2 linked regions of the Styela clava genome follow. The protein of the gene in region 1 purifies or fractionates together with the protein of each later gene. This does not show direct contact. Links are inferred from orthologs where the notes say so. Each region holds a gene or a part of one and is shown on either strand. Other genes may lie near its edges.

The links. Proteins that work in one complex are often made in the same cells at the same time.
Region 2: the proteins of serine/threonine-protein kinase ULK3-like (region 1) and hsp90 co-chaperone Cdc37-like purify together in Homo sapiens (affinity purification with mass spectrometry; 3 studies listed by BioGRID and IntAct, with this or other methods). This does not show direct contact. The link is inferred for Styela clava from reciprocal best matches to the Homo sapiens genes ULK3 and CDC37.

Annotation. Positions count from the first base shown.
Region 1 is NC_135257.1:17,387,793-17,394,802, forward strand, and holds the start of serine/threonine-protein kinase ULK3-like, read left to right. Parts: upstream 1-4,000; 5' UTR 4,001-4,099; coding exon 4,100-4,243; intron 4,244-5,572; coding exon 5,573-5,716; intron 5,717-6,474; coding exon 6,475-6,595; intron 6,596-7,010. Other genes in the region: NADH dehydrogenase [ubiquinone] iron-sulfur protein 4, mitochondrial-like, read left to right, coding at 268-347, 1,029-1,132; ADP-ribosylation factor-like protein 15, read right to left, coding at 1,446-1,616, 2,301-2,509, 2,835-2,894, 3,056-3,200, 3,450-3,503. UniProt on the Homo sapiens protein: Serine/threonine protein kinase that acts as a regulator of Sonic hedgehog (SHH) signaling and autophagy.
Region 2 is NC_135253.1:13,560,458-13,567,918, forward strand, and holds hsp90 co-chaperone Cdc37-like, read left to right. Parts: upstream 1-4,455; 5' UTR 4,456-4,471; intron 4,472-5,133; 5' UTR 5,134-5,176; coding exon 5,177-6,286; 3' UTR 6,287-7,172; downstream 7,173-7,461. UniProt on the Homo sapiens protein: Co-chaperone that binds to numerous kinases and promotes their interaction with the Hsp90 complex, resulting in stabilization and promotion of their activity. Inhibits HSP90AA1 ATPase activity.

The sequences.
Region 1 (7,010 bases):
TTTCTAACTCTTAGTACGATGTGCCACACGGCCTATTTTTATGCATTTAATGGTGGTAATGGTACGAAAGTACTGTACTTTAAATATAATTATCAAGTGATACTGTTCGCCATAAACTATTGTTTTCACGAAATATATTTCAGTAGTCTTGTGGTGATAGCCACACATGGATTTACGTGTTTGCAAATGGACCAGTGGGAATGGGGTTTTCTTGGAAACAAAAAGTTTGCTTCTAATTGCTACTAACATAGTTTCTAATATTCTCAGTTCTGATCCTCTCTCAAATATATCAATGGCTATGAGTTTCAAAACCAAAGAGCATGCAATGGAGTTCGTGGAGAGGCAAGGTAATACACTTAATTTTATTTAATTCATTGTACCTGATATTCGTTATGGGTGTTCATTGCCGAATACTCCACAATACAATCATGTCACCATCAAAAATCCCCAGCTATTCCAGTGCAAACAGGAATTTCCCGGTCTTATGGCTCATTTAATATTATTACACAATAATTTCTAGTAATAATCGGTGTTAGTTGCAAAATTCATATGGTATTTACCATTGATATCAGTCATTTTGAAACTCTTCTCCCCAAGCTGTTGAATTAGATGTTAGAATCTTGCTGCTCGATAACCAGTTTTGGTTCCCCCGCTTTCCTTTCCCAGTAATGTAAATATCATTTTTTGCGTGATTTTTGTCTTTTTACAAATAAATTTGACTCGATATTTATATAATGTTGCAGTGACTCCGAATTAGTTGATTAAAAATATCCTTGGGTTTGCTCCTGTTTATTTTCACCCTGAAATACCATTTTCCACATTCTGTAATTTCAGAATGGTAGGAAAGTAACTTCTGATTTCCTGCAACACTTAGAAGCCTAAATCACCAGTTTAACGTTCTTAGCCCATCTAGTCTTCAGCACCAAAGTAGCGATAATACCCTTTGACGTGGAAACTAGAAACACTCTTATTCTCCCAACTCCACTGGCTGATATTAATAACCTACGTAATATTCTTCGAATATTTAGGATGGTCATACTTCATAGAGGAACCGGTTGAAAAACAAATGCAGCCGAAGTCATACGCAGCTAACTTTTCTTGGGATAAACGTTCAAGAAGAGCAATGAAATGATTTGTCATAAGTCCTGTATATTTATAGATATTTTTGTTCTCTTGTGAAAAAATAGGTAATAAAACTAAAATGAGATACATGCACAGTGTAAGCTGATCTATGTACTATTTTTCTGTAAAATTACGACAGCAATTGGTCATGATACTTTTTAAAGTCAGAATAATACTATCATGCAAGAAGATATAGACCAAAAATGGGGTTATATGAAATCAGCTGGTTACAGTATTGTCTCCAAATCCACAAAAACCCTTTTTCTCGAGTTATCAAGCGATTTGTTCCACATGCAATAATAAATTTGCGTCCCCAGTGCTTGTCACACAGCATCGAAAGTTTCCCTCATTTCTGGGTTATGAATTTCATTCAGTCTGTTCCCAAATCTTTCAATAATGGATCTCAATCCATCCGGATTAGTCTTTGAACAGGACTTGACAATGATATTTGGTTTTTCTTTCAACATTTCAGTAAGATTCATTTCTTCTACAGCCTAAATAAATTATAGCATGTCTTTATACAAAAGCCAAGTCATTTGTGCAGGTTAGCATGAATTGGTTAAGAATTTATCTTGATCCAGACCAGGAGTATGCACGCATGGCGCTTGTCAACACACGAGATTTGCTTGAAAAGGCGCTCAACATGGGCAAAAATAGATGCGATCCAGAGCAGGAGTGTGTGGCATGTGGCCCTTGTCAACACTCAAGATTTTTCATATCGAGCATAAAACTTTTTAAAAAGGCGCTCACATGGGTAAAATACATGTTTTTTTGCTCTTGTAGCTGCGTTTTGCTTGGCGCCTTTGGAACTGTAAGGTTAAGGGATAGCTGCATTCTTTTTTCTATCTAGATGTCCCTAATTTCGTTGCTGCAGGCTTTTAGAATGCTGGTTTACCACATTATATTGTGATGTACCGTAATAATAAATTTGTTGTGTGCATAGAAAATTAAACTTTTTGTGCGACCCAGCTAGATATGTCTTATGTTGGTAATATGACACGCCCCGATCTAGACAATATTGTTTAAAAGCCTAAAGTGTTCCAAATATATTTCTATATGAACAAGATTATGCTCAATTCTCATACATGTTCAGATAGTTTTTTTCTCAAATTTCTGTGCATTGTACCGCTATATCCCTGATCTAATGGGTGAAAAAATGCAATATAGTATGCACTTACTCTCTCCTCTGTACATGCACCCTCCAGATCTTGTTTATTGCAAAGGATTAGCCAAGGTTTAGTTGAGAGTTCCGGGTTTTGTATTGCTTTATATAATGCATCTGTTGTCTCGTGAAGTTCATCTTGTGTGCAGGAACCATCAACAACAAATATAACACCTTGAACATCATTAAAGTATCTATGCCAGTACTGTCTGATTGATACCGCACCTGAATAAGATAATAAAGACATTTCAAAATCATACTTTAAACTTAGATGAGCGTCTCACAGCTAATCTTAGATGCCTCATGAAAGAATACAAAGAATTTTAAATTAATGACGTTACTCCATGCACAGTTTGAACAAGGTTACCGTCACTTATATGGGAATACTATGTTGTATTGACTCGTTTCATTAGGGACAATGTGCCAAATGTTCACTCTACTTAGCCTATCAATCATTAAGCAAAAGCAGGTTGTTCTACATTCCATATTTTAAACAAAAATTTTTCCAAATGTCATATAATAATCATAATTGGTCATATTTAGAACAAACCTCCAAGTTCTTTTACTTTCAACACAGCATTTGGCAGTCTGATGTCTTTGATGATGAAACCTTTATGCAAGAAATATTAGTCAGGGATTTGAGACTGACGTTAAATTGAAGATTAGATTCGAAATTTTTCGTTAAACCAACATAAGGCAAAGCATAGTAAGTTATATAATATACCATAAATATAATAATATATATATATAATATACCAAAAAATAACTCACCGACAGTGGGTACAATTGCATCAATGTTTTCTGATGTAAGGACACTCAGTAAAGTAGTTTTTCCAGCATTTGTTATTCCTAGGCATAACAAATCATACACAGGTATTGCAGGAGGTTCTTTGATACAGCAGCATTTCTGGTACACCTGAATAGTGATATTGGATTACCTCTATAGCACTTTGCTTCAAAAAATAAGTTATTTTTGCGATTTATTACAAAATGAGTTTAATACAAAAAATATTAAATAGCCTATACAAAAAATGGGGAAAAGCTTAAAAAATAATTTAAAATCGAATTGAAAGGAAACATTTATTCAAGTGAAGATCCAAATGATCTGGACTACCTAAAACTGTAAAACGTCACCGGTATACAACGATTAAAGTTGCAGCCTCACCGTGAAACAACAGATACGACAAACTCCACAGCAAATTGCTGGCCATTCACTCATCGCATCAAAAGACTAGCCTGTTCCAGTCTTGAGTATCGCGGTTGTAAAATTAAACCGGACTGCAATGATCCAACAGACGTTGAATTCCTTCGACGACAAGCAAAACAAACAGATATGTCCAGTGTTCCTATATATATATATACCCTTTGGTGTTCCCAATTGAAAAAAAATCCTACGCGGAATAAATACAAACTGATTGATTTATCTTTGCTCGGTCGCGTGACTGCACAATACCAAAATATTATTGAGAGCTGGACCTCTGAAGACGTAGACCCCGACCGGGGAGTTACCGAATTTTTCTATTTTAATATTCTGCCCTCCATGCAGTGTACCTAACAGCTACTTTCAACAATTACAATTGCTTTTGAAAATTCTATAATATGCGCAAATTAAAAATGAAGACTTTTGGAAGCTAGCAAAGAGTTGAAAATTAGAAAAATATCATGTGCCCACTCATAAAAAAGTCACAAAAAATACAGACCCTATTCAGCAAGGCTTTTTGATGAAGCACCATTTTATCTACAGGTATCGTAAATATAAAAATACAAGAATTCAAAATCCTGCCATCAAATGTCTGGATGTAAGGACTTGTCAAGATGAATCATGGGAATTCCAAATTATCAGAACAATCTCTGGGATTGAAAACAAAACCACATCAGCAACCTAACTTGGATGGATTCGTGTTTACAAAGCGCTTGGGAAGCGGAACATATGCGAATGTATATAAAGCTTATAAAAAAGTGAGCATAGTTATTTTTTGGGTCTAGTATAGTTTAGTACCACAGGTACTTCTGTACTTCCGGTGGGCGTAGCATAAAGAATTTTGCATATGCTATTCCTAACCCCCACCTGACTATGTCATCCAAAAATTACGTCTCTACGAAGTCACCATCACGTCATAGGGATTGCCAAAGTATAATTACGATCGCCCGAAATGACATCTGCGCCGCCGATAACGAACTTGCTAAAGCCGGCGATCTCTCTCCTATAGTGATCGTTGTGACGAGAAAACGAGAGAGATTGCTTGCTCGATTTCGGGTGATCGTCTGTGCGTTTTGGACGATCATCCGCATACTTCGGTGGGCCTTATTACGCCACTGTGACGTCGAAATGATGTAATTTTTTGGTGGCGTAGTCAGGTGGGGGTTAGGATTGACATATGCAAAAACTGTTGAGCCAGGTCAACTAGAAGTACATGTGGTACTAAACTATACCAGACCCTATTTTTTAACAATGCTTGTTCGGGCTTTTTGCTTCGAACAGGAGCCTATACCAGGGCTACTCTAATGGCGAACCGCGGTCCGAATCTGGACTTTTCTCGAGTATTTGATTCGGACTGCAACTGATTCTTTATTTTGGATCATTAGCCCCACTTTTGCAGCTTCTTTTTATAAAATCACTTTGATAATTTTGAATATTATGAAAAGAACTATAACCCCATAATAATCAATCTTGATTAGCTAATAATCATTAGCCAGCCAAGAAAATGGGCGTTTAAGGAAGCGGAAATATATTTTCTGGAAAGACCGGATCCAAATAATTTTGAAGTTTTGTATGCGTACCTTAGGTGAAAATAGTTGAGCATCCCTGCCCTATACAATCATCCACTGTTATATTTTGTGCAAGTTTCAAATACTTTTCATACCTTCACTTCAAACAAGGCACTAGACAAGTAGTGTGTGTTACGTCGGGAGATACCATACATTTGATATCTGTGGTGACAAAATTGGGTTCAACATTTCCACCTAATTTATGATTTGTTACCTTGTAAAACGTATCTATGAATGTGAAAAATTTGAAATATTGCATTGCTAATTTTTGGTTGAAGCTTTTAAATTCAAGATGTGGATGATAACGTCAAGGGTATTTCATGACATCTGTCCACCATGTATGTTGTAATTCATGCTACCTGTTGTTTACACGTCCCTCTATGAATTTCAACCAACTAAATATTTTAACACATCCTATAGACTGGACAATTTTCCTATTTCCACCTGACTTGTCAAGCTTTCTTGTCAAAATATCCAATCTTATTCTTTCATAATTGCATAAATAATTTTATATTTCAGAGCAGTGATCAGCGAGAAGTCCATGCAATAAAATGTATCAAAAAATCAAGTCTAAACCGAGCATCGATGGAAAATTTACTTGTAGAAATAGAGATATTGAAGCAAATCGATCATCCTCATATTGTTAAAATGCTCGACTTCCAGGTAATATTAATAGAATAAATACTTTGCCATCTTTAGAAAAACTAAAACAGAAGACACTGCTCAGGCATCAGCTTGGAAGGTTATGTAGTCGGACTTGACCATGATTTTCCAAATTCTTTCATAAGCTTTAATCAAATTCAAGTGGGAACACAGTTTCAGAAAACACCTTGAAACCCTCATTATTCTCTCGGCTCTTAACTATTTTCAATTTGGAACCAAAGTTTGTGTTATTGTGAGTCGGTCACAACTGGGTCATTTATTTATCCCTAGGCAAGGGAAAAGATGAAAAATATACCTAATTATACGTAAATATCTTTGGCATCTTACTACCAGATGGTTGTTAGATAATCTGTTTTGACAATTGGTTGCTTTTATAGGGTTACTATTGTACCATACATATCTAACCAATTTTTTGGGATAGGAAGTTTATAATTCGCTAATAATGCCTAGATTAATACTTTTATTATCTATTTTATTTTTGACTATATTCCTCTTTGGGTTGACGGCTGTTACATTAGCGTTACTATAAAACTATTTATAAATATTTTGGTTTTGTTTGTCAACTTTTTAGTTCGCATTAGATGCTTTACTGAGCCATGCAGGCTTATGTAAAGCCATTTGAGTAGTACTAATTTTGGAAGGAGCTCAGTACGCCTGATAGAACCAGCAGATTTGTCAATTTCACCTGTGTCAAATAGTTTGTTTCAGTGATTGATATTATTATTGAACTGAAGTTATTGTTGTGTTCATTATTTTAGTGGGATTCAAATTACATATATATTATCATGGAATATTGTGCTGGAGGAGATTTATCAAGATTTATTTCAACAAGAAGAATGTTACCTGAATTTTTTGTGAAAAGATTTTTGCAACAAATTGGTAATTCACTTAACATTATTACTTTTAGGTTATTGTTATAGTTCATTTTGGTAGTTATGTAAGGATTTTAAAATTTGATTTTTTGAGTTAATTTCACAATGTTTAGAAAAATTGTAATTGTGAATCTATAAATTTTTTTCAATCAATTAAACTCAATTGATTAAAATCAGAGAAGAAGTTTTTCACATTAAAATATTTCCTCATCTTCTGGAAAACCAACACTACACTGTTATATTCTCAAATGACTCAACAAATAATACCTTTTTATTCTCATTCGAACTCTTTGCAATAAATTAAAAATTAAAAAAAATTTTTTTTTAGTACAAATTAGCATTGGTATCCAACTTCTAAATTTATAACCCTTTTGACTTGGCATGAGGCATAATAATCTGTCATTTGTTGAATCAAAAAAGAT
Region 2 (7,461 bases), on another chromosome or scaffold:
TTTTCCCAAATACTTTTTACCCGCCAAATTCATAAACAAATAATAGTAAGAAATAAACAATTACCTGGAAATCGGTTAGGCCGCGAGACGAGGCCGTTTATCTTTCAGTTTCGTAGCGCACATAAGGGAACTACCTGAAAATGATTTGAAAATGTTCCTTAGAAATTTAGTAACAAATAATGAATTGTTCCCATTTCCACAGGTTGCACGTTTTACGGAAAAGACGCTTTTACTACAAGAAATATGCGCTACGATCTGCATGATGTAACAATCAAAATTGGCCAGCTGTAGGTGGATCCCCTGTGGTCGGATGAATATCAGATGTACTGCTCGCTTTTGCGTTGAGTAGCCTTTCCATACGGTAGTTTTTTCAGGTATTATTAGGCTAGTTGATTTCTTCTAAGAAGGTGTTAAAAAGTATAAGTAAGCTATTAGACATTTGTATATCTTTACCAAAGATAGCAATTTCAGTTGAGCACTAGATTCAAAAAACGGTAAATAGCTAGGGTACGGTAACTCCCAAGGTATGCTAGACCTAGAATAATATGTCACAAACAACGACTAACATACAATATTTTCAAGTTTGTTAGAAAGATTTATGATTAATTTAATGACGATTCTTGACTATTTAGCAGACTTATACTACTATCATAGGCTACTCATTCACTCATTTCTTTATCTTATATATATTTTATTTTATCCCATTTGCATTTACCCATGGTACTATATTATGCCATGATAACCTTATATACAGCATTTACAAAAGGGTCGGGAGCCTAGATGACCTTAATCGGTCCTGCACACTGACCCGCACAAAACAACAATCAATCGCTGTTTATTACTGATGAAATATTTTCTTCATTATATTATTATCTATTATTGTTTATATTAGTGTTGATTTTGTTTTTGTGGCAATAAATCTCACTCTCTTACGACATATTTGTTTCAGAAAATAATGGCTGTTTCTGTAATGCACGTTTGTGTGAAAAAGGGGAGAATAATCAATATTACTTATATCAGTTGGTCTAAATTCATGGAGTCGACAAGAACCTGGGAAGCAATGATAAGTTATGCCGGAGTTGAAAGAAAGTAGCATTGAAGCGATTGAGAGGTAAGAAATCAAGTTGTAGACCGACAGTTGATGTTTTAAAATATAGGCCATAGGGCATTTCAGACTGTGATATATAGAGATTCAGTGAAGATATAGTCTAGTATGCAAACACTACAGGACTGTAGTACATCAGATAAAATGCATTATGTATGAGAAGTATTAGTCAGTATTTAGGGGTATTTTTACACTCATGCTGTTCCAAATATGATTTTCTCCCGCATTTTAGATACTGTACTACAAAAGAAAACGGCAATGTTCCACAAATTCAACCTAACGCAGGCTTTAATCCCCGCTGCTATCAGCTCTATACCTGTGAAAATAAAATGGATCGAACAAGAAGTCTTGAAGAAAAGCGTAAAGGTATATGAGAACATAACAGTTGCAAACAGCTTAGATGGGCTATTAATATTGAAATACTTTGGCATTCTTCTGCACTTGAAACTGCCCATCAAACTGATGTTGGAGGACTCGAAATTCATTGAGTTTTTCCGCAACTATAAAGATATTTTGAGGTTAACGAGGCCTTATTAAATAAAGCTGAGGAATTTGTTTGTTCACTGCATGAAGAGGATATGAAGAATGTAAAATGATACCAGGGCACGTCTTTTCAAAACTGGCAAACATATGGATTATACTCTTCCACCCAACAATCATTCACTGAAGAAGCATGTTCTGAGTACAAATTACTAGACAAGGATTCATCCTGTTGCCTAGAACCAAGGGGAATTATTCTCCCACCTATTGGCCATGAATTCATTCTTGATGATGGTGTTTTGCGGGTTAAATTGATGGATCTACTTACAGCCCCCAAATCAGTTCTTGAGTTGGCAAACTGCAAGTGTAAGCTAAATAGGCGTCAAAATAATTTATGCATGTGTGCCAAAAACAACCTAAATTGCACAAACTTTTGTTTTTGTATAGACGGCAAAAAACACAGTACACTTATTGAAGAAAAGTCGATTTTCGAGAATGTGGATTTCGAAGGCAATTCAGAAGAAAGTGAATTAGATATTGAAGTTGATTCAATAAATATTATTTATTAGTTTTTTTCAGACATCTGTTAGTGTCGAAAATCCTGTTTCTATAAATAATATTGCCTTTGTTTCAAATACACAACCACATAAACTGAAAAAAGTCTAATTGTAATATTTCTGTTCACTACATTATGTACATACTGTATTAATTTAATTTTCTCGACTTTTTCGGTAAATTTCTAAGTGAGAAATACCTGATTTATTTGGGTTTTTGTGCTCGCGATTGTTGATTTGTGACTTCATTGCTTAAAAATAAATACGTTTAATAGCTTCTATGAAATAAATGCAATTTCTTATTATGTTTTTTGTTGTAAACTGCTTGTCTGAGGAAGTCTGATTTTGGTCAGACAAAACGTGACAGAAATACATTTGTGTTAGTGTGCAACAGAGCTCTTGAATTGCATAGTTCCTATGCTATGTTATTGTGAACCTATGGTTATTAATTTTTTGGAAACCCCCTTATGTACAATTTCGCATCAGGATTGTGAAACAAGCTGTAATGCAATGCGTTCAGTATGTTCATTTTCATACAAAACTAAAGTATTTATTTAGTTACCAGATGTGCGCTACAAAACTTATTTGCTGGGCGTTATTTAAAGCCTCGTCTCACGGCCTTTATCCACGGCAAGGATCTGCAAATGTTTAATAACTTACTTATACTTTTTTACACCGTCTTAGCCTAACTTAACTAATAAAACTAAAAAAGACGATGGAAAGGCTACAAAATAAGATTCATCCGCCTGCGAACAGCTGATCAAATTAAATGTTACGTCATACAGAGGTCTGCGTTCATTGGCCAATGTTGCCGTAAAAGTAGAGAATATAGGGCAGATTGTAGTGCTTATTTCTTGCAGTATGAGCGTCTTTTTCGTAGAACGTGCAACTTTTAGAAATGTGAACAAGGTATTATTTGTTACTAAATTTCTAAGAGAGAGAGATTCATTGTTTTGTCAACCAGAAAACAAACAATGGTATACGAAAAAATATATACAATATTCACAAAGTTAATTCGGTATAGACTGGAGGGAGCGATACGACCATAAGGTCATCAGAGTCAGCTCCCCCCATGTTCACGATTACTTAAAAAAATTCAAATTTTTAAAAACCATACCGTAATTCAGGGGTGCACAACACGTGGCACGCGTGCCAAATTTGGTACGCCATACGCTCAAACGTGGCACGCGAATGGTTTTGTAAAAATAAAAATTTTATTCATGATATGCATTAAAATATCACGTTTCTATCAAAATCAGCAGTTTTTCAGGACATTAAAATTTTTTTAATAAATAAATATTCGTTGTTATGTATTATTATTAAAATTTGTTTGATGTGTGTTTTACGGGACCCCGACCTTTGACCCCCGAAAAAATTTTCCCATACTTTACCAGTGCAATATTTTCGGGGCTATTTTAAGAGTGCTTTTGAGAGTTGGCGCCTGTAAAATGGAGTATGTGTTTCAAACCATCATCATGATTCATCGCATACAACAATCTGTTTTCAAAAGTACCGGTGAAGAATTTCAGGCTAGTCTATCACAGCTATTTCTACACTAATTTTTATTACTGCAATTAAATTAAAACTCCTAGGATCATTGAATTATCTGATTTATATTTATGTTTCCGAAACACAGCTGAAAACTAACGAATAGAGTTCAAAAACGCGAAAACGAGCTAATGTTTACAACCACGCTTGAAAATCTGTCTGAGTGAGGAAAATGTCTGAGCGGATGCGAAAAGGGGGCATTGTTACGTCACTTTTTGCATCTTGCTGATTGGCCGATGTCACGAAATAAACAAGGAAGTCCATGCTCGGGGAAAGGATCATACCAACGATTGTGCATGACACCCGATAAGATTATTTTGAAAAATTTGGCACGTTTCCTCATTTGAGTTGTGCACCTATCTCTCTTATGTTCAATTTCTGTTCAACTGAAACTAGAATAAATCACAACCAGAACATGAGGACAAGGACTTGGCGTCTTTGAGCCTTTATAAAATACAATGTTAGGAATTTTATTTATTTATTACAATTTTATGATTTATGAATATATTTTAGTTCCTTTGGAAAATTTTCACTCCAGAGGTCATAATAAAATTTTGAAATTCCCATATTTTGACCACGACTCCGAAGCCCTGGACCACTAGAGGTGGAATCGTTGCTCTGTCTTGTGTAAAGCCATAATTGTAGCCTATGGTTGAGCAAAGCTTGTATTCAGGTATTGGCTAAATCTTGGTGCTGGGCAGCCCATAAAAGGGAATAGTCTAAGCAGTGTCGCAGTCTATTGAAACAAGGAATACAGCTAACCAGAATATAGTCTGATAGTTGGGTGAGAACTAGGGATGGCATGGGCAATGTAAAATAAGTTACCGTACGGTATTATTTTAGAATATTCTAGAATACGGTACTTGAATAAAATCCAGAATATGCATCCTATTCTATTTTTATTGTCATTCAAATGTCTGAATGTAAGTTTAAACAAAATAGTAAATGTGTTGATGTCATTGTATTTTATAAGAAATAACACGAGCATTTGCAGGGATTGGATTTTATTTGATACCAAATGCTGAAATGGGCATTTGTCTGGACAATGAAATTTAGGAATCTTGACAATAATTTTTCTGCCTTAGAACTGTTATAAAATTTAGGTGATGCTTATACTTACTGATATGATAACTTAGAAATAGATATGAAACAACTTTAACAAACTGAAGAATTGTTAATGCTGTAGTGCGACAGTGCCGAGTGCACTGAAACATTCGGTACCCTACTTTTATCGATAGCCTATTTTCCTTTGATATGGTCTACATAGTGGTAGGCTAGTAGCCAATTATTCAATACAGCAATGCCTGAATGTTGAAGTTCATAATGGTGTGTAACACTTTAAATGATGGAGAATGTACTGATATATATATATCACTTATTTCTGTTTTACAGTAGATTTCTCATCACACAGTCACATCTACTATATTATTCTATCAACTTTTACAGGCAATATAGTCCAGTAGTCCAGTACTACTCACATCACTGCATCATGGCCAGATTAGATTACAGCAAATGGGATCACATTGAGGTCTCCGATGATGAGGATGACACCCATCCAAATATAGACACACCAAGTCTATTCAGATGGCGCCATCAGGCGAGAGTGGATCGTATGGAAGAAAGGAAAAAGGAGAGGGAAAAGCTGGATGAAGAGAAGAATAAAATTGAGGAAATGCGAAAGAAATTAATGCAGCAAACTTTGAAAGAAGCTGATAAAAAAGAGGCTGAATCCAAATTTGCTGAATTGAAAAAACAAGAAGAAAAGTGGAAAAAGAAAGAAGAAGAGCTGGCAAAAAAAGAAAAATCGGAACCATGGAACATTGACACAATATGCAAAGAAGGATTCAGCAAATCTATGATCTCTAAACCTAAAAAAGAATCTGAAGAAAATCTAAACGAGGAGGAGCAAATGCAACGTCAAAAAGCATATGCTAAAAAATATGAAAAGGATCTCAAAACTTATGGGATGATGTCAAAAATTGATGACATTCAGAAATATCTTCAAAACCATCCTTATTTAGTTTGTGACAAAGCTGCAAACTTCCTCGTGATTTGGTGCATCGATTTAGAAGTTGAAGAAAAACATGCTTTGATGGAAACGGTCGCCCATCAGACTATCATTTTGCAGTTTATCCTTGAGTTAGCAAAAACTCTGAAACAAGATCCTAGAAATTGTTTCGTTTCATTCTTTGAAAAGTTCAAAAGAGCTGATGAATCTTATAATACTGGTTTCTATGATGAACTCGCAGCGTTCAAATTGAGAGTGAAAGATCGAGCTCAAATCAGAATTCAAAAAGCAATGGAAGAGATTGAAAGAGAGGAACGCGAGAAAAGAATAGGTCCAGGTGGTCTCGACCCACAGGAAGTATTTGAAACCCTTCCGAAAGAAATGCAAGATTGTTTCGAAAAGCGTGATATTCCAATGCTTCAGAAAATAATCGCTTCTCTCGAACCAGAGCAAGCTAAATATCATATGAAACGTTGTGTAGATTCTGGTTTGTGGGTGCCTGGTGGAGGAGGAGCAGGCGATGAGCAAGATGATGCTGATGATGCAGAAGAGGCAAAAAAAGAAGAAGAGGTTTATGAAACTGTTGATTAATTTATTATGTTTGACTAACAGTATAATACTTTTCCACTAATTTTATATGTTTAAAATATTGTTACTCACAATATTCATCACTACCATTGACTTCTGTTCAATTCAATGAACTGGCTAACCTAACCCATTTACATTTGTGTGAATGAATTAAGTGCAGACAATTTTTTTCAAATTTGGTGTTTATTGCATGTATGACTATCCTTTATGCCAAAAAGAAAGCTACCCAGTCAACTGATTTTCATACTGTATTTCTTTTATCGACCAATTTAAATATGAAATTGTTCAGAATTTGGGGGTATGTAAAACAACCTGACTGAACATAATATTCATTTTGATAAAGTCATGTTTGGGTGTCAATCTTAATTTCCTAGAACAAAAACAATGACTTAAACAAGTTTAGTTATTGGACACGTATTGGACATAACGATCGTTTCAAAATTTTGTTGTTATTGTTATTATTTGTCTCCGTCAACACGTTTTGAAGAAATCGCTTTCCTCTTCGAATACTGCACCAATTGCTTTGGAATTTTCAGTGGTTGAAGATAAAAATTTCCTCCAGAAGGCTATTACTTTTTTTTCTCGCTATGACGTCATCAAAATTATGTGACTCTACGTGTCCATATATTTGAGCATAGCTCTCTTGTTTATATAGAAGGGAATTATAGGGTACAGCTTGGTTTTGACCATCTTTTGCTGGTATTAAATTCTGTTTCCGATTTGCTAAGGCTGTATTATTGACTTTACTAGTGGAAATGAGTGATGACCCTCTGTAATTCAGTGAATATTTATCAATTGTGATTATCACGTGATAATGTTATTTGTTTGATAACATGGTAAGATGCTGCCAATAAGCATTTAAAATGTAAATATGAATTTGCTTTTTAGACATCTATTTACTAGTTGCCGAATATTGTTCGATCAGCTAATTACTCACAGCAACAGAAAGTGTTAATGCTAACTTCTGTGTGAAGACCGACAAAATTCAGGTTTACTATGTTTATAATTGATTTAATTTTGTATCTGTAATATTCCAATATATGTTATCGAGAACATGCTCTGATATACAGACCTAAATACTTATTATAATTAGAATGTTGAAAGATACGTTTGACAAAGTCATCACGCAGGAAAGCTTTCTATGACCAATACCCGAGGCTGAATGTATTTTACAAAGC